Linked DNA regions of Neurospora crassa OR74A. The protein of the gene in region 1 binds, or shares a complex with, the protein of each later gene. Links are inferred from orthologs where the notes say so. Each region holds a gene or a part of one and is shown on either strand. Other genes may lie near its edges. The genes, in order: NCU00690 and NCU16771.

Region 1 (17,649 bases):
AGTACGTGGTGATACCGGTGGTGATTGTTCCCCCGGAGCCACCAGCCGAGTCCGCGACCTGTACCTGCGAAGCTCAGCTTCGAACCGAGCTTGTGTCGGGGTCACAGCCGGCGTCACCGTCTTGGGTGTTGAGGGTAATTCGATCTCGGTGGTCTTGATGTTGTCGTTGTTGCTGAGAGGCCACCCATCCTCCTTCATTTCGGCTTCAGCCTTGGGTCGTGCGAGCTCAATGACTTCTTGCTCTTGCAGATGAGCGGCAGCTGTCGTCTCCTCTTCTTCGCTCTCAGTTTCCGTGTCGCTCTCAGTCGTAGTCGCAGCAGGCCACTGCGGCACAGCCATGGAAGCGTACCGCATTCCAGTTTTCTTCTCCTGCTCTACCCTCAAAATCTCCACGCTGACCAGCCATCTCTTCTGCAGCTTGACCTTCCTCTGGGCAAATGTGCGGGAGACGGCATCTGCCTCATTGGCGAACTCGACGGCGAGGTCCTCGAGTTCTTCGGATTTCTTGTGGAGAAGGGCTTCCATCTCGTCTTCGTGGCGGTCGAGTAACTGCTCCATCTTTTTGCCTTGCTTCTCGCGAAGCACGTTGATCTGGGCTTGGTGCCGTCTCTCCATGCCGTCGCGGATGCGGTATTGCTCGCTGAGCTGGTCGAGGTGTTTTTGGGTGACCTCCCTAGAAGGCATCTTCGAGTCCTGCAGGGCTTGGTCCTTCTCGCTTACTTCCTCAACTTGCGAAAGCGTCTTACAGTAGGCTTCCATGTGCTTGAGCTGTATCTTGATGCTCCGTTCCGAAGCGTCCAGCGACGAGCGGAGTTCCATCTCGGCTTCGATCTGCCGGTCCTCGAGGTGCTGCTCTGTTTTCGCATGGCGCTCCTTCATTTTCTCTGTGAGCTCCGCGTACTTCTCCAGCAGCGCCTTCTTCTTCTCCGACTGCTTTGTGCGCATGTCTTTGCGCATCCTAGCCTCGTATGCCAAAACCCTGGACATTTCATGGTTTTGCCGTTCCCTTAGCGCCTGAAACTCTACACTGTCTCGCGTCCTCCGTTCCGCTGCTTGTTGCGCCCGTCCCTCCGCCGCAGCCGCCTCTTCTTGCTCCCGCTTCTTCACTTCCAGCTCCGCGAGGCGCGTCTCTTCCTCCCTCCTGCGCCGCTCGAGCTCCTCCTCGCCGTTGCAAAAGTTGGGACACCCAACAACAGGATCCCATACGGCACCGCAAATGTAGCAGAACTGCGCCTTGCACCGGCATGTCATGTGCGTGCACCCCTGCGTGAGCTCAACCAGGTTGCGGCACTTGTAGCATCTACGCCACCCGGATTTCTCACCCATCTTTAGCACCGTCTCCAGCTCGATGTCCTCGGGGCAATCCTGCCCGAGCCGATGGGCGCTGCGCTTGCAAATGAGGCAGACGCGCATCTTGCACGTCTTGCACATGGTCTCGAAGGGGTGCTTGGGGTCGAGCTTGGCTCTAGGCGGGATAAACTCGCCGCAGGCCGGGTTTGGGCAGAAGATGCGGGATTCCCAGGGCGTGCTGTATTGGAGGACGGCCTTGAGGAAGGCCTGCTGCTCCTCGCGGGTGAGGATCGTCTTGATGATGGAGCTGGGAATGGGCTGGGTGCAGCAGCGGGGAGGCATCTTGGACTCGTCGGTGGTGGATTGGTTGATCATGACGGCCAGACAGTTCTGGCAGTAGGTGTGGCCGCATGGTAGCGTCTGGAGGAGGTGGTTCTCTTGGGCAAATTCCTCGCGGCAGCATATGCAGATCCTAGGAAACGGTAGAACTCGTTAGATGTGTCGTTCCAACATGGCTCATGATGCCCAGAGTATCTGGGTGGGTGGGGCTAATGATCCAGCAAAGTCACTTACACGATTGGTAACGCCGGATACGTTTTCCTCCTCTTCAACCTGCCTGTGAGGCCGCGCCGGAGCTCCCTGACGCCCTTGAAATGCCCAAAGCCAAAGATGTTGTGCGACGGCCGCCTTGTGGGCGCTGCTGGGTTGGAAAACTTTGGTTGGTGGAGCGCGGGTTTCAGCTGCGTCAAGTACTTCTCATACTGGGAAAAGTTGACAGTGTTGGACCTCTTCCTGCTCGTGGATTGTGTGAGAGTTGCCGGCATTGCTGCCGACGAGTTCGAAGCCATATCATTATCGGTGCCTGTGGCCGTTTCGGTGCCGGTGGTACTGTCGTTCGAGCATATTGTGTTGGAGCGCTGGTGGGCAACGAGAGTGCTGCTTCTCGCTGATGTGGCGTTCAAGGCAGTGGGATTTCCCAGGCTGTCAGTAAGGTTCGAGACATCGATTCCCAGACTCGAAGCCTTTGCCGTCAAGCTCTCCTCGATCTCGGCCTCAGTGGCGGTGGCATCTTCCGTCGTTATCCCGAAAACCTCACGGAGGTATTCGGACTCGTCTAGTTTGGGTGGGTTGGCGACGGTGCCGACCAGATGGGCCGACGACAACGATACTGAGGTGGATTCAGCCATATTCCTTCACGAATCACTTGATAATTCTCCATCTACTTCTGCCCCTGTTGACACAGCAGATATCTGGGGTAAACAGCGAATGGTTACCGAGACAGTCGAAAGGCATATGGCGGCGGCAGAGAAAGAAGACCGGAGTGGTAGCTATGTGAAGCGGGAGTTTTGGGAATTGGATGAAATATGTATTAAAGATGCGGTCCAATCTATCAGAAGAGGAATTCCCATGACGCAAAACTATGGGCAAGGGTGGGGTTCATGCATCCGGAGAGGTTTAGGTGGTTGTAGTGTCAGTTGCATGTCGATCCCAAGGGCTGGCTGGATGTCCAGGGCTTTGGGGCCGCCGTCGTTACGTGAGCTGACTGATTAGGCCAAATCAACAGCGCTATCACTCGGCTACCAATATGTGAGGTGTTCACTAATGTACGGCGTTCTCAATAACCAGGGCTGAGAGTGGTTACCGAAAAATGCCCGGAGCCCTGAGGAATGGTGAGATCTAGTATAGTGTAGCGTGTTGGCAAGGGAAGGCAAGGGACGAGGAAAAGAGTAAGATGACGGGAGGAGTAAGCTCGGATAAAGTTGGGAGCTGTGGTGGAGGGGTTCAAGGGGGAGGGAGATGGAGGAGGGAGAGAGATGGAGTGTTTGGTCGGCGGCAACGGAGAGCAAGAGATTTGAGATGGAGGGATCACACGAAAAGCGGCAGAAAGATCGCCAGCTAAAGCAAGTGATGTGCAGTAGACCAGACGAGGGTTGCAGTTTGGCGCCCAAATATACATCACCTTAGCAGTGCATGATTATATTGTACATTACATATCAAGGCCCGACTTGCATTCTGCACGCATCAAGGTCACTAGACCATCACTGCTTGTGCCAATAGCTAAGAGCAGGTTGTCTCTATCGCCAGCTGTTTGGATCCATAGCTGGATGAAAAGAAACACATGGAATGTCTACCTAGGTATCATGCCCATCAAGAGAAGGGATGTTGGTACACTTGGTGACGGGGTCCTCAATGCTGTTGTTGATGTTGGGGGGACAGTGGACGCCGCACAGTTGGTGCGTTTATACACTAGACTTACTGGCGCTGGCTGGCCAAGAAACGGGCAAGGGTGTACCTACCTAGGTACCTATGTGATGCGCCTGGGCTGCGTGAATCCCCGGGCCCCCGAGGGGTGGGAGCCAGTGACTGCCTCGGGCAACTGGGTGGGGGCCCTGGGGTTGGTAGGTCGGTAGGTACGAATCAGGCAAGTGGAAGTAACAAATCCAACAACTTGAACGCCTCGCTGACTGGCATCAGGGGAGGCCAAGATGGGAATTGTACACTATGTACAAGGTCGAGGTCGAGGAATTGAAGTCCGCTTTTCTGTCTGTGTTCGTATGACAACTATGGTACACTACATCCATGTAGTAAAAAGACAGCCAACCTCACTCGCCAGCGCCAAAAGAGCCTCAGCCCAACGACACGAGTTTCCCGCCACACAAGCAACCAAAGGGGAACAGATTCGGGACCGAACACTAACTTCGATTGGTCTTTGATGATGGAAGAAATGCCCCGTCAAAAGCTTGCTGATTCCGAAAAACTTGATCTTCTGCCCTCAGCTCCTTGGAAGGAGAGCCACTGAGCTAGCCAAGTGGGAGAAAAAAGGCGCTTTGAAGACCGACTTTCCAAACCAGAGGTGAAGGAACCGATAACATGTTGGAATCTCAAATCCTTCATGCAAATCTGCAAGGTGGAGGAGGTTGTCGAGGCTTTCTTGGCTTTCTTGGCAAGTTCGGCCATTTGAAGTATCGTCATCATTGTCAACATACGACCAGGACCGCTGTCAATGTCTTACCAAGTCTTGCCTTTTCCCCATTCTCCGTAGCGCCAGGTACCACAGCGCTGTGTATCTTATTCCCGTACTTCTCCCGACCTTCAATCTTGCCATCTTAGCTTCCCAAGTACGCTTTCATACAGCGGAGGTCGTTGTCGCCGTCACGGCCGGGGAAGGACAGTCACGATAGTGCAGGCCCACTACCTAACCTACCTAGTGTAAGTAATTGAGATCGATTTTGACCCAACATTAGACCCTTCATCGTCCGCTCGCACCGAATTTCGTCCGTCGCCCCATCGTTGACGCCCGTCATCTCACATGTCCACCCTCAAGGGCCATCAGCCCCACCGGTCCTCATCACACGACAGCGCGCGCGCTCGCACGACAGACGATGGCGGTTTCGACTTTCGAACGCGACTCAAGTAGCGGCTCATCCCACTTTGGTGAGAGTCTTGTGATAGAATCATAGGATAGGTAGGTATTACATACATGGTCACACCAAGTGGGCTTCTTCTATGCTAAAGTAGTGTGTGTAGAGAGGACAAAAGTCTCAGCGAGTCCTTTTCTGCATTTTTCACCTTCGCGATATCCTCGCCGACCTCCCTCACCGTCGGTATTGTTCCTCTTTTCCCTTGCTCACTTACTTGTAGTACGTGCGTAAAGTAAAAGCTTGTTCAACCCCAGAACTGCATACTGTACGAGCTGTGGCAGCCAGCCAGCCAGCCAGCCAGCCAGTTCGTAATCGTAGAAATCACTAACAACAACAACGACCGCCAACAGAAATAACTGATTATGACCGACCCCTCCCTTTTCCCTTTTACTAACAGATTGGTAACACAACCAAGACTGACGGAGGACAAGAATTCCAAATTTCCTTTTTTTGAAAGCTTTTCCGCTTTGGTTAGTGCAGTAGACCAACAACAAGCACTACATTAGTGTAGTAAGCAACAGCTGAAAGGCAGACAGACAGACAGCCAGCCAACTTTCGGTTTAGTGTACTTTGATTGATAGGTAATGCATTCAGCTTTCTTACATATATTGTTGTTGTTGCTGAAGATCATCCACCCACCCCAAATTGTCCAGCCAAAACGAGCAGCTGCATATCCGTCTTTCCGACCTCTGTCCTTTTTTTTTTTTTTTTTTTTTTTTTTTCCCGGCTTTTGACTTTGCTTTTTTGACTGGGCTGTCTTCAACAACTCTTTTGTCTCTCATCAACCGAAGCGAGTATGGAACCCATCCCCTTCCCGGTTGGTTGGGAAGCTTGCCCCAGGCTGCTATCGACAATATGTTTTTTTTTTCTCTTTTTTTTTTTTTTTTTTTTTTTTTTTTTTCCATGGGCGAGTTGGTTAAATAAGGTGAGACTGTCATCGATGGGGATACTTGGGCACTAAAACTCTCGCCAGCCGGCCAACAGCACCGGGGCGGGGTGTAGTGCATACCTAGTTAGGTAGGCTCTTGGTAGGTTTCCCCCAGAGACGCCCGGGCATCTCCTACAGTATGTAGTGTAAAAGCCGAAAGGCTGCAGCAGCGGAATGGATGGGGGCCTTGGTGATGTCCTTGTCCATGTCCACTGTCTGGAAATCTTGGTTCCACCGACGACGATCTTCCCGCTTTCTGCACCCCCGTGGACAAGGCCTAACGAAAAAGGAAACTTGGACTAACAGACTTTTTTGAAATTGCCTTGTACATCTCTTCGGCTTATGTACACACACACACACAGACTTTGCATCGTGGCCAGCCCGGGTTTTGCTGATTACATACACTAAGTAAGATCCCGATAGGTTTACCATTCGGTAATCTTAGACAATGGGGATGTGCCGAGCATACACACTGAGACTAACGAGTTACGACTTTCGGAGGGGAACTACGTGATTGTCTAGGCGATGTCACGGTTCATCGTACATGTGTCATGATTGTGGGAGACTGGCCAGAACTTGACTTTGCCTGTCTTTTGTGGTTCGATAAATTTTTTTCTTCCCGCGATGATTGTTATGCTGAGAGAGTTCGCTATGTTAAGGCTCGGAGCCCAGACGGTTCTTATCAGAGGCGGGAGAGTAAAGCTATGCAATTCTGAGCGGCGTAGCGTCGGTCATCAGGCTTGTGGCATTGGAAGCTTTCAATGACATGGACGCTGGTTAGACATATGTAAATACTACTGTGAAAGAAGCTCGCCGTCGACCGGTTAATTTAGCCCAATTCCCTGAAGCTTCGGTATCTGAATAGCCGAGACAGGGTTTAAGCAAACTACAGAGTATTCCCATTCTTCAACAAATCTTCATCACCTTCACTTTTCTTCTTTGAGACCTCATTTCGGTGAGTTTTTTTCACGGCTTGCAGCCCGCCCACTATCGATATCGACAGCCGCGTCCATTAACAGGTATCTTCATCAATGCCACATCTCTTATCATGTAGTATCATCTCATCTCAACATCTCACGATGTTTTCACACCAGCTCCCACCTAGCCAGCCAGCCTACATTCTCCCCGGCATTCCTCACAATACAGAGCCTTCCTTCTTTGGGGCCCGACTCTTTGACCGTATCAAACGCCTTCTCGGCAGAGATTGCCCCAACCGCCGTACCCTTGCCCTCGCTAAGGCTGTACGCCCCGGCCGTCACGAACCCGATCAGGTCCTCCTCGCCGGGGCACAGCGGATGGCCACCGCCAATGTCTGTCTGATTAGCTGTAGGCCTGGGGTAGGGTAATGGATCCCCTGACAGGAGAGACTTGGCCATTAATTGTTTTCGAGTACCCTGACCAACGTCGCGAGACATATGTGGTGCTGCGTGTGCTGTGGTGACTTTGGTAGACCTGCTGCCGCTTTTGTTGCCGGGGATTTTCTGAAGCCATTGATCGCGGAGATCCGCAGGTAGAGATCCCATGCCGGCCGCGACCGGATCAGTAGCGGGTACCTCCGTCTCCGACGACGGGACAGCCGTCGTTGCTGAAGGCTGAGATGGAAGACGATATATTCTGGCGCACGCGTTTGCAACGCCTCTGGTTACAAATGTGATGTTGACTGATATGATCGACCGTGGGGGAGGTCTGCCCGAATTCACCGAGGAGATAAGGGCCTGAAACTCTGTCTTCTTCATCTGCTCAACCGTCGTCAAAGACGGCACTGTATTTTTGTGGACCTTCCCCAACTTGGCTGCGGCTTCAGCCTCTTCCCCAGGATGAAGGTCCATTGCATTTGGATCGACATCCGACGTTGATTGATCCTCGCAGGAGTTCGGCAAATGATCCGTGGGCAAACCGAGAAGATGCTCAAAATCGCACGCTAAGCCATCTCCAATCTCGCCCTTTCGTCCAGCGCCGAGATCCAGCGAGGCCCATTCAATGCGCTTGCCCCTCGGCCGCCGGTCCCAGGCCTTCTTGCGCTGCGCGCGCTGTTCCATCTCCCATACCACACCCGCATTCGTCCCAAGAAAATCCCCAGGAAACCAGGGAGTCCCTTGTTCAAAAGCAATCTGCCGCTGCTCATTCAACCCCCCTAGCCGAGGATTGCCTCCAGTGGATAAGGGATAATGGACAATGCTGTACCATATCGGCAGAATACATTTCCATGGCGCCAACAGTGTCCATGTACCCTGTGCCTGACCACCAGCTGCCGGTCTGGAGGTGAACGCGATGACTGGTATAGGAGGGTCCGCTGCTGTGACTTGCATCTCTTGCCCTGGGGTACTGGCGCCCTTTCGGCGATTGATGGACTTTTGTGGTGGTAGACTGGAAGCTTTGAAGCGAACATCACGGTCGAAGAGCCCATATGGCTTCACCTGTTCCTCAACAGGCCATTGAGTCAAAGTATCGAGCAGAGCAGAATCGCTCACCTTGCTGGCGGTGTCGACCCGCTTGGGAGGATACGACAATCGCGGGTCTTTGATTGAGAAGCCCAGTACTGCGTCTTTAGGAAGAGAAGCGGGATTTGTTACCCCAACTAGAGAGGAGAAAACCTGCCCATGGCGCTCCTCGGTATAATATGGTTGAAGCACGGCAAGCAATGTCTCTGTGGAACCGGGTCCAGTAAGCTCGATGCTACCGATTTCGAAACGCAAGTCCTCGACGTGAACTTGGGGCGTATGTAGCTTTGCGAGCTTAACCAGCTCGTCAAAGAGTTCAAGAAAGCATGAGGGGTGTGTCCTGATTAAGATTTGTCGTTGAGTCTTCTTCAGCTCGGTAGTGTTTGACTCGGGCGCGGCAGTCTCGACGGTCGGAGTGGGGTTCCATAGAATCGTAGCAGGCCCGATGTCCCTTCTTGAATTCCTTTGCTGTCTGCTCACCATACCGCTCCATGTCCTCGTACCACTTCTCCATTTCCTGCCACGGTTGCCCCATAGACTCTCCTGAACCAGCCCTAGTGCCTTGAGAACCTGCTCAATGCCTCCCGCTGCTCCGTAGAGCCTGACCGTGCTCATGTAACTTGTATCCCAGAAAACAGTTCCCTTTTGTCCAGAAGCTCGGTGGGTCGGTCGATAGCATTTTTGCGTCGGTGTCAAAGGGATCGCGAACCGCCACAGAGGCTTGGTTGACTCGGTCATTGTCGCTCGTTTGGCATGCCATAGATGGGTAGGGAGCCAGGTCTTGTTGATCTGTCTCTTTTTGAATTTGGACTTTGGCTTCGGGGGCTCGTTCAGGGTATCACGTCGTATCTTGGGTCTCGGGGCTCTCGTCTGGATCGTCGTCTTTCCGGGCTCGTCCCTGTTCTCTCCCCCGGCTTCATTTTGCAACGCCCTTTTCCTCTTCCTTGCGGCCAGTTTCTCGAGTCGCTTTGCGTTTTCGGCACGTATCCTGGCGCGTGTTGTACGTGGCCGTCGTTTCCTCGCTTCGACGGTCGGTGTGTTGTCCTCCATCATCTCTCTTTTGGCTCTGTCGCGCAGCCTCTTGGGAACCCTCTTGGCGTTGTGACTCGCCGTCCGCCGTCTCATCTCGCGCGGTACCTGCTGGAACACCCGGGTGGCGTTGGCGCTCTTGCATTTTCGCATGCTCGTCTCGAGGGCCTTGATCTCGAATTCACGGGCACTAAGGAACTTTTGGAGATCGAGCTTTCCATCGTCAAGGGCGGCGTCCGAAGGCTGGCTGCGGATGTTGCGTGCATCTTGGAACTTGACGCGTTTTTGTGGCCGGGCTGGAGGACGCGATTCTTTGCCTTGTTGGTTCTGATTCAATGGGGCTTCCTTGCGCTTCTTGGAATCGGCCGCCGCCTTGCCTGAGGCGGATTGTTTGTTGTGATTATCCATGGCGACTAGAGGCACCTATGGTTCCTTGGACATTGGCGTTGTTTGTATGCGGCGCATGGAGGTGCCCGATTGGGGTGGTGGTTGGTGATTTACCTACTTGGAGGAATTGGAGTCGGGCAGGTCTTGCTCAGTCTCAGTGACTGCATCACTGGCGCCGACTGACAAGGAACGAATGAGGAATTTCTGAAGCTCTTATCGGGCTTATCAGTCAATCGGCTAGCGGGCCCTAGCGGGGAAGGTGTCCCCACTTGGAAGAACGTCCAAACTCAGGTCCCGTTCCTTGACGATTCCACGGCATCCTGGACAGCGCTCTTGGCGGTCCCTTCAGTGGCGTAACACCGAATCTCGCCCCCCCAGCATCACACTCAGCCGGAGCACAGACTGGAAGCTCGGCATTCCCCAGTCTCCCGGTCTCGAACGGGCATTGTTCCAACCTCGACATCACCGCTATCCTGATGGGACTTCTGTAGGAAGAGTTTGTGGTGAGTGTGTAGACTTAGTTCTCCAGAGTCGTGGATGACGGAGTGAGGCCGCAAAGCGAATGGAAACCATTATCCTCATCGCCATGCCCGTTTGACATTAGTTCATTTAATTTAAGGGGCTCCTGCCTGGACATCCATCCATCATATCCGTGGTGCCGCGCAAAACAAATATGCCCAGGCAAATTGTTGGGCTAAAGAAAGGACTTTTTCCAGAATCTGTCGTGGAAGCATTACTAACCGGCAGTCCAAAGTTCTCATTCACCCACACACACACACACACACACATCTTAGGTCTTTGCTGTCTTGTTGTCGTGTTTTGGTCGATAGGGGGGTAATACGGAATACCTTACGTTACAACTGTGTTCGTCCGCGATACATGCCAAGCCATCCCTGACACGCCTCAACGGCACAACTCCAAGCTTTTCACTTTTCTCACTGACCTGAGGGTTTGTTTCCGAGTCCCGTTGTCGCTGTTGCGTTGTTGGAGTCTCGATATCGACGACTGGGTCCGAAAAGGGAACGCTCACGTTGCGGCAGGGGACCTCGGCGCCCCTTTGTGTCGGCGTCAACCACGGGAACCTGGATCGAACGGTCCGGTACAGTTACAGTCCTGAGACCGCGTACCGTACTTTGGAGACGGACGACGGAAATACCTGCTGAATCCGTCGCATGTAGACATGGCAGCCCTCAGTAAGCATGACTAGCCTTCCTCCCTCTTGTTCCTTTCATCACATCCGGCTTCCGCTTCATTCCATCCCACCCACCCACCTTCGTTCGCAGTTTCCCGCTCGTCTCAATGCGGCCACTCCCCTCCATCAATCTCTCCAGCTTATCATCACTCCTTCACCCCAAACCCTACCTGACTATGAACGTCCGTCCTGCTGTGCATGACGCTGCTGCATCTTGTCTACCGGCACTTCCAGCATTATGGAATGAACCTTGCCTTGAACACGCTGAATCTGCCTTCAAACTATCCATTGGTCGTGACCCGTTAAGCTGATATTATGCTTCACATTCCTCTAGTCGGCAAGGGTAAAAAGGTTCGTATTGACCCATTTCCTTCTGGTTACCTACAGGGACACACAGTACTAATACCTTTGCTCTAGCCCAAGTTTGAACTACACCTCAAGGCATGTCGTCCTCAATTTGAAGCTCGCTTTAGGTCGTCGTCTAACTCCAGCCCCAGATCTATGATTTGAACAATGTGCCACTGGTCTCTGGAGGGTCCCTGATCAAATGGCACTTCCCACATAGCATTCACTCGGAGCACCGTGGCAAGACGCAGAGATGCCCTATTGCCAACCACCGAGTTGAGTACAGCTACTCAAAGGTCATCCCTATCCGCATCGCTGTCGATCGTAACAACAACCTCACGGAATGCCCGATCGAGTTTGAGGTTCTGCAGCTCTTCAACACCAATGGCACAGTAAACGGCAATGGCCCAGCTCCGGCCCGGGAAGAGAAAACCACTCTAGGTGTCGTCCGCCTCAATCTAGCCGAGTATGTCGAGGAGAGTGAAACCATCCTCCGGGATGGTGTTGGAGCCGGCTTCATTCCGTTTCTCGGATCTCCGGGTGGCCCGGCAGCGGTCGATTTCCGGTTCGGGCACATCCGTAATCGCAGCTCACTAAGCGCGGTAACACCGGCACCAGCGGACGCTAACAGTCCCCAGTATCTACGGCCTGATGCAGAGGAAAAGGAGCAGGAACGTCCCATGACAGCCATGACCACCAAGACGTTCGCCACAACAACCACGGCGACCCCGGCAGAGGACGTCCAAGACGGCGTGGTGCGCCGCTACCTGATGCAGGACAGCAAGATCAACTCAACACTCAAGATCAGCATCCTCATGATCCAAGTCGAAGGCGAGCGCAACTTCATCGCCCCGCCGCTCAAGACGGCTCCCGTTTTCGGTGGCATCGCCGGCCTCGTGGCGGGCGACGTGCTGGACCCCAACGCCGACGCCCACAACTTCGCCCGCAACCACCATCAAGCCGCGGCCGACCTGGCACTGGGCCAGTTACCCAGTCTCAGCCACAAGTCGCGGGACGTGTTTGAATTGCAGGACTGCTACCGTCGGGTACTAGCTGCCAGCTGGGAATCCCAGCCGGGCGAGCTGACAGCTGACCAGTGCATCGAGGATATTTTCTCTGGAGGCGACGGGTTCCGAACGGACATGTCTTCAGCAGCGAACACCCCTACGCCCATCACGCGCGGTCGCGGCGGGCACAGCAATAACGCTCACAGCTTCGGGGACCGAGACGGTGAATTACGGGCGGGACACCGGAAGAAGCACAGTTTCGGAGGAGGACATGGCCACCACTTCCGCTCCACCTCGGGCCAGTACTACCGAGACCAGCGAGACAAGCTCGCGGCCGCCATTTCCCTAGGACTGGGTGGCACTCCGGTGGCGCCAACAACTCCCGGACCAAATAGATCCAACACCTTCCGCACCCCGAGCGCCAGTTCCGCTCGATCCCGCCACCCCCGGCACCGCGATGAACCCACCAGCGGCTCGGCTTCTGGAGACGAAGACAGCGGCAGCAACGGCAACAGTAATTACAACAAAGATACCCTCCGCCCACAAACCGCTGCCCCCTCACGAACCCAAACCCCAGGAAGCATGGCTCGCATAAGGCGGCACATCCGCCACCACAGCGGAACAAGTGATAAGAGCATTCGAACCATGATGACGGAGCAGCAACAACAAAACGACCAAGAAGGAGGCGCCGCCGACAAAGATAACTGGTATAACATCAACAACTACGGTTTCACCCGGGACCCCCGGGGAGCGGCAGACGAAGCCAATAACCTCAGAAACCTGCTCAACAGCCTCAACAACCACAACAACAATCCAAATTTCCTTAACGGCAATGGTTACAACAACCGCCCCGCGACCTCCGCTTCTACCGTCAATAAAATCAATACCTCCCTCAACAACGGCCTCTCCCCCGCCTTCCGCGACCTGGGCAAGATGCTTTCCCCCGCTGCTCCCGTCGGCCCCACTCTCGCTCCCCATTTGAACTCCCCCTATCAATTCCAAGACGCTGCTTCTTTGGGGGGGATTGTGATCACGGATGGAGACAAACACCCAAGCTATGAAAGTCATATTGGAAGAATGGATAGTTTTAGGGGACGCGATCGGAGTGATAGTGGCGCTAGTCTGGCGACTTTGTCGCTTGGTAGTGGGGTGGGAAGTGGGAGTGGCAGAGGAGCGTATGGCTATGGTGGGTATAAGAAAGCGAGACAGGTGGATGAGTTTGAGGTAAGGGAGGATTTGGTTGCTTGGACTATACCGGCATAGGGGACAAGGCCCTTTTTTTTTGGTCGGAAGAGAGATGGTGGAGGGTTGTGGACTTGAGTGTGATCAGTTCGTGGGATCGATAGATTTTGTTCCTTTTGTGTTGTTTTGTTTTGTAGCTTCACTTCTTACTTTCCTTTGTAGCGTGGAGTTGTTATAATATATGGTTCTTGGGCTTCAAATTGAACGCCGTTGGTTAGGCAAAGCAAACGCCAGTAAAATATCAGCGAGAAATCTTTTAGGGGTCTGGCATGTACATCTAAACGCCAGGTATCAAAAAGGCAACTCCTTTCGATGATGTCAAATCTCCTGCATGGTCCATCAGAATGCGAGTAACAATAACCTCCCCAACAACCACTTCCTCCCACACTCCCCTCCATTACTTCCCCCTCCCCGAACTCCCCTATTTAAAAGCATCAACAACCCTTCCACTCCCCTCCTCAATCTCCACAGCTCCCCATCTCTGCTCCCTACTCCTTCTAGTCAGCCCCTTTCCCTTCCCCTTCCTCTTCCCCTCTTGCCCCTCTTCATTTCGCCGTCCCGCCTCCTGTTGCTCCCCCTGCCCTTCTTTTTCTTGTTCTTTTTCTTCTTCTTCTCCTCCTTCTCTACTACTAACTTTGTCCAAAACCACATCCGAGCCCTCATAAACCCCAAGCTCATCCAGCAATACCTCCACTGCCCATACATACCCACCACCATAACCTCCGTAGCCTCCTCCTCCTCCTCCGTAAGCACCACCGCCGCGACGAGTCCTGCCCCTGGTAGGCACTTTGGTGCACAATAAATGTAAATCGAGCATCTGGGTGAAGACCATTCCGTACGAGGGCTTCATGTTTCTTCTTGCTGCTGACTGGGTTTGTGTTTGGTGAGGATGAAGATGGGTGTTATCATGATGGTTCCTGCCGTATCCCCCTCCACGTCCTCCATATCCCCCGGGGCCTCTGTAACTTGCAGCAGAAGGCGCACCAGCAGTGTGTCCGCCGACTAAGCCGCCCATGTACCCCGGTGCTGCTGCCTCTATAGGTGCCAGAGGTGTTGGTGGTGGTGGGTTGAAGATTGAGCGCATGATACTGAGGTCGGGTTGTTTTGGTCCTTTGTTGTTGTTGTTGTCGTCGAACATCGATATCGAGTTGGTATTGAAGGAGGATGAAGAGGTTGTTGTTGTTGGTGAGGTAGTCGAGTTTAGCATCATCACCAACGGCCCTCTCCGACTAAGTCCACGAATTTGATCAGAAAGCTGAACCGCCGAGTTATGCGCTGCGGACCTGTCGCTGCCGGTCTTGTTGCGGGTGAAGAGAGTGTTGAGGAGGTGGGAGGTGTTGGTTATTATGATTAGGTGTGGTAGTAGACCGTCTTCTTTTCTCTCCGTTCCTTTCTCTCCTGTTTCTCCTCCGCCTCGTCTCCCCTCATTCCCGTCACTATGGCTAACAACAGTCTGCTGCTGCTGCTCAACCTCCTCCAACTCCCTCAAAACCTCCCTCAACCCCTCTGCATCAAAAACCCTCGCCACCAACACCCTCTCCAAACAACGCATGATTACCCCTCTATCCACCTGGTGGTGTGCGTTGCCATTCCCTTGAAGCACCCTAGCCTCACTAACCAATGCCAATCTCAACCGAGGGAGCAAAGAAGTCGTGGAAAGTGTCGTGATGATCATGGCCTTTGCTTTTGACCCCGACGACGACGACGATGACGACGACGACGACGACATCAACAGCATCCTCGCAACAACCTGCAATCCAATCGCCAACCCAATCGTCTCCTCTTCTTCACAGCTTAGACCGACCACGCAACCCCCCTCGAATCCTCCTCCTCCAAGTCCTGCGTTGAGGAGAACATGGGAGTCGAGCTCGCGACAGCCGGTGGAGAAGAAGTCATTGCGATCGTGGGTCAGCAGCCGTGAGAGTCTGGGATCTTGGGAGAGGAGCAGGGAGGCGGGGAGGGGATGTAGGGTTGGAGGTGTTGGAGGAAGGTGCGATGGGTGGGATGCGTTGCGGTTGCTGTTTTTGCGGATGCTGGTGGGTTTGGGGATGGTGGTCATGACTGGACTACCACTCGAGTATAGTTTCTGTGCAGTGTGGCAATGGCGTGGCTCGATGAAGGGTGATGTTTCGGTGATTGTGTGGGTAAGTAGGGGTTTGTTCCGTCGTAAAAGGAAAAATCAAACTTGGGCTGAGGGGTTGTTGTCATTAGGTATTATAGAGCAGGTTCGACGTGGTTTGTTTTGCGACTGGACTTAGTTGTTTGGTAAAAGCCAAAATTTGTCGTGCAAAGAATGGGTGAGTTGGAGACAACATGCAAATTGCGTTGCTTCAAGAATCTCGGATTAGAAAAACTTCCGTTCGACACTGTAGCAACGAGTTAACACGACACATGGACAAGGTATCTCCATCAGTCAATGATTGCAAATCTCTAGATGTACCACAGTCCATCATTCGTTTTCTCAAATTTTCAAATAATACATACATACAACAAACACTATTCCATGTTAGTTCAAGGACAGTAAACCGTAGAATTCCAAAGGTAATAATGCCCTTAATCATGTGCGAGGTGAACTTGGTATGGTACTGTGCGTTGATTCTCGTTGAAAGCAGCTGCAGGAGGAAACAATGCAAGAAATAAAAACGACCGCGAAAAACAACCGTCCGATAGAAGGAATCGTCGACTCCCATTGACGTTTTAACAAAAAAACTAAACAGACAGAGAGAAAAGAAAGATAATAAGAGCACCATAGGAGGGGCGGTCCCAACGAGCACGCCTGTTACTCTCCTCCCATTATTTGCGCACCAAAAGCAAAACATTAGCAATTTTTTTGTACAGGAGTGTTCCTGCATGCCGCGATCGATTCCTCCAATGTGACTACCGAGAAACAACCCTTGCCCAGAACGGAGGTCCTGCTCGAACGATCCCAGCGACCATGTATAGAGCCATATGTCGTGCTTCGCGATTCCTCACGTCAAATATTGGCGTAAAACAACTCAGCAAATTTCCGCTTCAGGTCTTGATGCGAGATCGTGTCACCATTTCGCCGTTCACCCCACAAATCCTCGTTTCTACGCAAATTGCGAGGGCACAGGACCAGCGTCAGGGCCGGGAGGGGCCGGACGGGTCCTCCGTCCGCCCTTCAAGCTCTTCATGCGGCCCAAAATGCCAGTAGGCTTTTGCTGTCCTTCCTCGAGGGTCATGGCCGCATCCGTAGTAGCCCGGCGCTCCATGTTGCCTCTAGGGCTGTTGTTGTCGGTCTTCCGCACACTAAAGCCCTCCTCTCCTCCCTTGCCCTGGCTGTATTCTGAAAAGAAGGGGTTGCGTTCAGAGTTGGGTGTATTCATGCTGTTAGAAGTTCTACCACCCTCGCCGGGGGGGGATCTTGTGTACCCGTAATCTGCGCTGTTGAGTCGGCCTAGAGACTGGAACTCTCGCTCGCGGGAGGTGCTCTTGTTGATGTTGCGTATCCGGTGGGCAAGGGACTTCTTGCGCGCCAGACCGTTGGTAGTCAACTCCTGAGCAAGCTCGTCCTGGCGTTGCTGGATCGCGGTACGCGCAGCCGGTGTGCCCTCCAAGAAAGTCGAAGTGCCAAGTCCCAGGGACTCGTCGCCGTGCATGGCACTGCCGCGGGAAGTGGGGTCAAAGACGGGCAGCTCATTCTTGGACGGAAGGCCCTTGTCCCTGGTAGTCCAGTCTCTATAGGCCTCTTCGTCGTGTTGACCCATAAATGTGGCATGATCGGGCCGGGGGTTCAAAGGTCCAGCACCACCCAGACTGTTGTTCAACGAGCCTTCAGGGAAGGCTTCCATAGGAGCACGTCGACTTCCGTTCTTGTTCCGGTGGGGGTTAAGAGCATCGAATGGGCCGTCGTGATGGAACACTGTTGATCAATTCTGTTAGCGCTGGAGAGCAAACTTGAATACGGGGACAACTCACTTCCGGTTCCGTAAATACTTGTGGCATCAAGCTGGTCGATGATGTCGAGCTTGCGGTTGGTGGGTTTCTTCTCCTTGTTTTCGCGGTGGCGACGCTCACGCTCACGCTCACGCCGCCTGGCATCACGAGCCCTCTGCTCTTTCTCATCCTCGGTCAAGTCGAGGACAGACGTATCCGAGTTCCTGCGCGGACGCCTCTCTGTTCTTCGCTGCTGCGGGGGAGAGTCGATGTCGATGAGTGTGCCGCTACCTCCGTTTCCACGAGGCTTCCTGGAGCGAACGTCTTCCTCTTGAGAGCGAGAGGGGCGATGAGCGGGAGGAGGTCCTCTGGACTTGGCTACTGGGGGAGGGACAGGTCGGCGGGCGACCGGCGGCGGGGGTGGCTTTGAGCCAGAAGGTCTGTCATCGAGCGTGATGGAAGCCTACAA
Region 2 (4,202 bases), on another chromosome or scaffold:
GACGACAAATTGGGTCCCAATGGCGGTATTCTGTACGCACTTGAAGAGCTGGAAAATAACATGGAATGGCTCGAGAACGGCCTCAAGGAGCTTGGAGAAGACTATGTGCTTTTTGACTGCCCTGGTCAAGTCGAGCTCTACACCCACCACAACTCGTTACGCAACATCTTTTACCGGTTACAGAAGCTGGGCTACAGGGTGCGCCGTTGTTCCTCGTCTCTCTAATCGCAGTCCTTCCCGCTAATTCTCTTGCAGCTGGTAGTTGTCCACCTTTCCGACTGCTTCTGCCTCACACAACCATCGCTCTACATTTCCAACGTCCTCCTCTCTTTGCGCGCCATGTTGCAAATGGACCTTCCCCACATCAACGTCCTGACCAAGATTGACAAGATCTCGTCCTACGATCCTCTTCCATTCAACCTCGACTATTACACCGAAGTACAAGACCTACGGTACCTCATGCCGTCCCTCGACGCGGAATCGCCTGCCCTGAAGAAAGGCAAGTTCACCAAGCTTAACGAGGCCGTTGCGAACATGGTTGAGCAGTTCGGCCTTGTCAGCTTCGAGGTGCTGGCAGTCGAGAACAAGAAGAGTATGATGCATCTGTTGCGCGTGATTGACCGTGCAAGTGGGTACGTCTTTGGCGGCGCTGAGGGAACGAACGACACCGTCTGGCAGGTTGCCATGCGCAACGAGTCATCATTGCCCGATGCTCTTGATATTCAAGAGAGGTGGATCGATAGCAAAGAAGAGTATGACGAGATGGAGCGGAAGGAGGAGGAAGAACAAGAAAAACTGCGGGCGGAGCAGGCACGGGCCGCTGAAGAAGCAGGTCTCGGTGACGGCTCGGTCCCTGGAGTGGCGCCACAGTTCACCAGTGGCTCGGGAATCCGTGTGACGCGTAAGCAGAACACATGACGATCGAATGGCATGGTTGTTTCATCCATCAGAGACCTCGCCCTCGCCCATTTCTGCGTCATCGTGGTCATCGGTGACCAAGGCGAGATTGCGGGCTGAATCTTTGCCGCCGCGGAAGAGAGCATTGAGGGCATCTGATGATGCCTTGCCGGCCATCTCGTCCTTTGCTGCAAGGACAAGGAGCTTGGCACGGCGGATGGCTTCTTCTTCGACTTTGCGGATGGTGCCGCTGACGCGGACAACGCGGAAGATACACGGTCGGCCGTCCTTGACTGGGAGGCGGTCCATAAAGGTCAGGGCAGCCCACACAAGCCTGTAATGGGCTCGTGAGATACGTAGAATGAAGGTTGAGGTCGCAGTAGAAAGGTACTTGACTGTTATACCAAGTTAGCCTAGTGGCCGCTTTTACCAAATGTAAGTTTTAGAGTTCAGTGGTGTGTTTACCTTGTAGGCTGCGCTCGACAGAGCCTGACCCGCAATCACCAAATAACGCATTCACCTGACTGCGAATGCCCTTCAAGATGGTTTGGGGCCTGAGTTCTCCAAGGGTGGGCTGGTTATAAAGTAGCAGATCGGGTACAGTGCCCTTTTGTCCAGGAGGAATGTCTGCGTAGACAATGTTGACCAACAGATAGCGATCTTTAAGGCGGACCATGGTTGTAGGAGTTTTCCCGAAGACGTCGTTTCTAAACAGAGAAGAAAAAAAACCACAAACAGTCTGCTGAGAACACCCGTACAGATAGATATAAGAGAACTTGATCCGGTGCAATCGTGGATTAAAAAGCTGAGGGTGCGCTATCACTGACGTACAATGGAGTGAATGAGAGTGAAATCAATGCAATTGAAATTCAACTTTCAGACATCAAGTTACAAATAATTGCCGCCGGCAAAAGCATGCAAACTCTCGATCCTCACACGCTCCACTTCCCCACACGAAGTTTTGGTGGAGAACTACACCAGGTACCTTGAGGTACGGCTTACAGGGGTGCCTATCTTATCAGCTTCCGAGTACCGGCATGGCACATCAACACCATGACACCATCACAATACTCCCTTTCCTACAGAGTTCATCAATAGTTGGCACAAACGAGGAGATTCTGTTACACCGTTTCTCCAGCGCAGTATTGTGTGTCACATTTCTCAATCATGTCCTCAAGTACTACTCCAGCAGCGCTCAAAGCAGCCATCCTTATCGTTTCAACGACAGCAGCTCAAGACCCCGCAACGGACTCGGCCGACGTCACTCTCCGCCAGGTCTTCGATGAACAACAAGCCCAATGGGAGGTCCATGAATCCAAAATCGTTCCCGACGATGTCGTGCAAATCCAGAAGCAAATCATCCACTGGACAAACCAAGCCACCGCCGCAAGTGGCGACAACAACAACAACAACAACACCAACACCATCAACCTCATCGTAACCACAGGCGGCACCGGCTTCGCCGTGTCCGACCAAACCACCGAAGCCGTCTCGGCTCTCCTACACAAGAATGCTCCTGGCCTGGTCCACGGCATGCTGGCGGCTTCGCTGCAAGTGACCCCCTTTGCCATGATGTCACGACCTGTGGCTGGCGTCAGGAACGGCACCGTTATCGTTGCGCTGCCTGGGTCCCCCAAGGGCGCGAAGGAGAATCTGCAAGCAGTGATCAAAATGCTGCCCCACGCTTGCATGCAGGCTGCTGGTGCTAACTCTAGAGCTTTACATAAGGGGGGAGTGAAGAAATTGGAGCAGGAGGCGGGAGTAGAAGGAGGTGGTGGACGTGGACATGGTCACGGACATGGACACGGACATGGACACAAGCATCACGACCATGGCGAGCACCGAGGAGGAGGAGGGGGAGGCTGTGGCGCCCATGGGCATGGCCATAACCACGGTCACGGCCCAGGCCACGGCCACGCCGGTCTAGTCCGACACACCATCCCCTCTGAAAACCCCAAGTCCAACGATCCCAGCTTAGGTCCCAGCCGCCGCCACCGCGAGTCTCCTTACCCGATGCTCTCTGTCTCCGAAGCGCTCTCCCAAATAGCGCAACACACGCCGATGCCGCAAATCGTCACCTCCAAAGTCGATAGCTCGCTCATCGGCGCCGTTCTGGCGCAGGACGTTTCGGCGCGCGAAAATGTGCCCGCTTTTCGCGCTAGCATCGTCGACGGCTACGCCGTAGTCGTGCCCCAAGACGGGAACATGCGCGGCGTGTTCCCCGTCGTGTCGGTTTCGCATGCCGCTCCTGGAGATGGGGAAAAAATGCCGACGCTCAAAGAGGGCGAGATTGCCCGGATCACCACGGGTGCACCCCTGCCTCCGGGTGCGACATCGGTTATTATGGTGGAGGATACGGTGTTGGTGTCGACGACGTCATCCAAGACGGAGGATGCGGAGGATGGAAAGGGAGTGGAGGAGGAGAAGGAGGTGGAGATTTTAGCAGCTGATAAAGTTCGCGAAGGCGAAAATGTTAGGGAGGTGGGAAGTGATATCAAGCAGGGGCAACTGATTCTAGGCAAGGGAGATCAGGTGTCTGCTGTGGGGGGTGAGATTGGTCTGTTGGCCGCCGTGGGTGTGGGTGAGGTGCAGGTGTACCGACGTCCTGTTGTTGGCGTTCTATCTACGGGTGATGAGATTGTGGACCATGATCGCCCGGGAGACTTGCGGCTGGGCGAGGTGCGCGATACGAACCGGCCAACTCTCATTTCGGCGGCGAGAGATTGGGGGTATGAGGTGATTGATCTTGGAGTGGCGCGGGACAAGGCCGGGACTTTGGAGGAGACGCTGCGGCAGGCATTGAGGCAGGTTGACGTGGTGATCACGACCGGCGGAGTGTCCATGGGTGAGCTGGATCTCCTCAAGCCGACGATAGAGCGTTCGCTGGGCGGAACAATTCGCTTTGGTCGGGTGGCAATGAAGCCCGGCAAGCCTACCACGTTTGCTACCGTTCCGGTAAAGGATAACGACGGAGAGAGAGTTTCCAAGGTAATCTTCTCGCTACCAGGTAACCCGGCATCGGCTTTGGTTACGTTTCACTTGTTTGTACTGCCGTCTCTGCACCAAATGTCGGGCGTCTCACCACCTGGCTTGCCAAAGGTGCCTGTGACACTGGGCCATGATTTCTCCCTCGATAGATCTAGACCCGAGTACCACCGGGCCATTGTCTCCGTTAGCAGGGACGGAGTGCTCACCGCGGTCAGCACAGGAGGACAGAGAAGCTCGCGGGTAGGAAGTATGAAGGGGGCCAACGCGCTTCTCTGCATGCCTTGCGGACCAGAGCCGTTGCGCAAGGGTGCCAAGGT

What was found.
Region 2: NCU00690 (region 1) and NCU16771 share a complex: the UniProt entries of both Saccharomyces cerevisiae proteins name them as parts of the nuclear RNase P and RNase MRP complex. The link is inferred for Neurospora crassa OR74A from reciprocal best matches to the Saccharomyces cerevisiae genes POP1 and POP5.

The regions. Positions count from the first base shown.
Region 1 is NC_026501.1:7,533,502-7,551,150, forward strand, and holds NCU00690 (ribonuclease P complex subunit Pop1), read right to left. Parts: upstream 9,660-17,649; 5' UTR 9,519-9,659; coding exon 6,726-9,518; 3' UTR 6,316-6,725; downstream 1-6,315. Other genes in the region: NCU00691 (hypothetical protein), read right to left, coding at 1-1,762, 1,864-2,477; NCU00689 (hypothetical protein), read left to right, coding at 11,005-11,040, 11,107-11,130, 11,187-13,304; NCU00688 (hypothetical protein), read right to left, coding at 13,705-15,342; NCU00687 (hypothetical protein), read right to left, coding at 16,355-17,166, 17,223-17,643. UniProt on the Saccharomyces cerevisiae protein: Required for processing of 5.8S rRNA (short form) at site A3 and for 5' and 3' processing of pre-tRNA.
Region 2 is NC_026504.1:1,937,294-1,941,495, reverse strand, and holds NCU16771 (Rpp14 family protein), read right to left. Parts: upstream 1,574-4,202; coding exon 1,363-1,573; exon of another isoform or gene 1,293-1,362; coding exon 940-1,292; 3' UTR 919-939; downstream 1-918. Other genes in the region: NCU09745 (ATP binding protein), read left to right, coding at 1-198, 256-918; NCU09746 (gephyrin), read left to right, coding at 2,065-4,202. UniProt on the Saccharomyces cerevisiae protein: Component of ribonuclease P, a protein complex that generates mature tRNA molecules by cleaving their 5'-ends. Also a component of RNase MRP, which cleaves pre-rRNA sequences.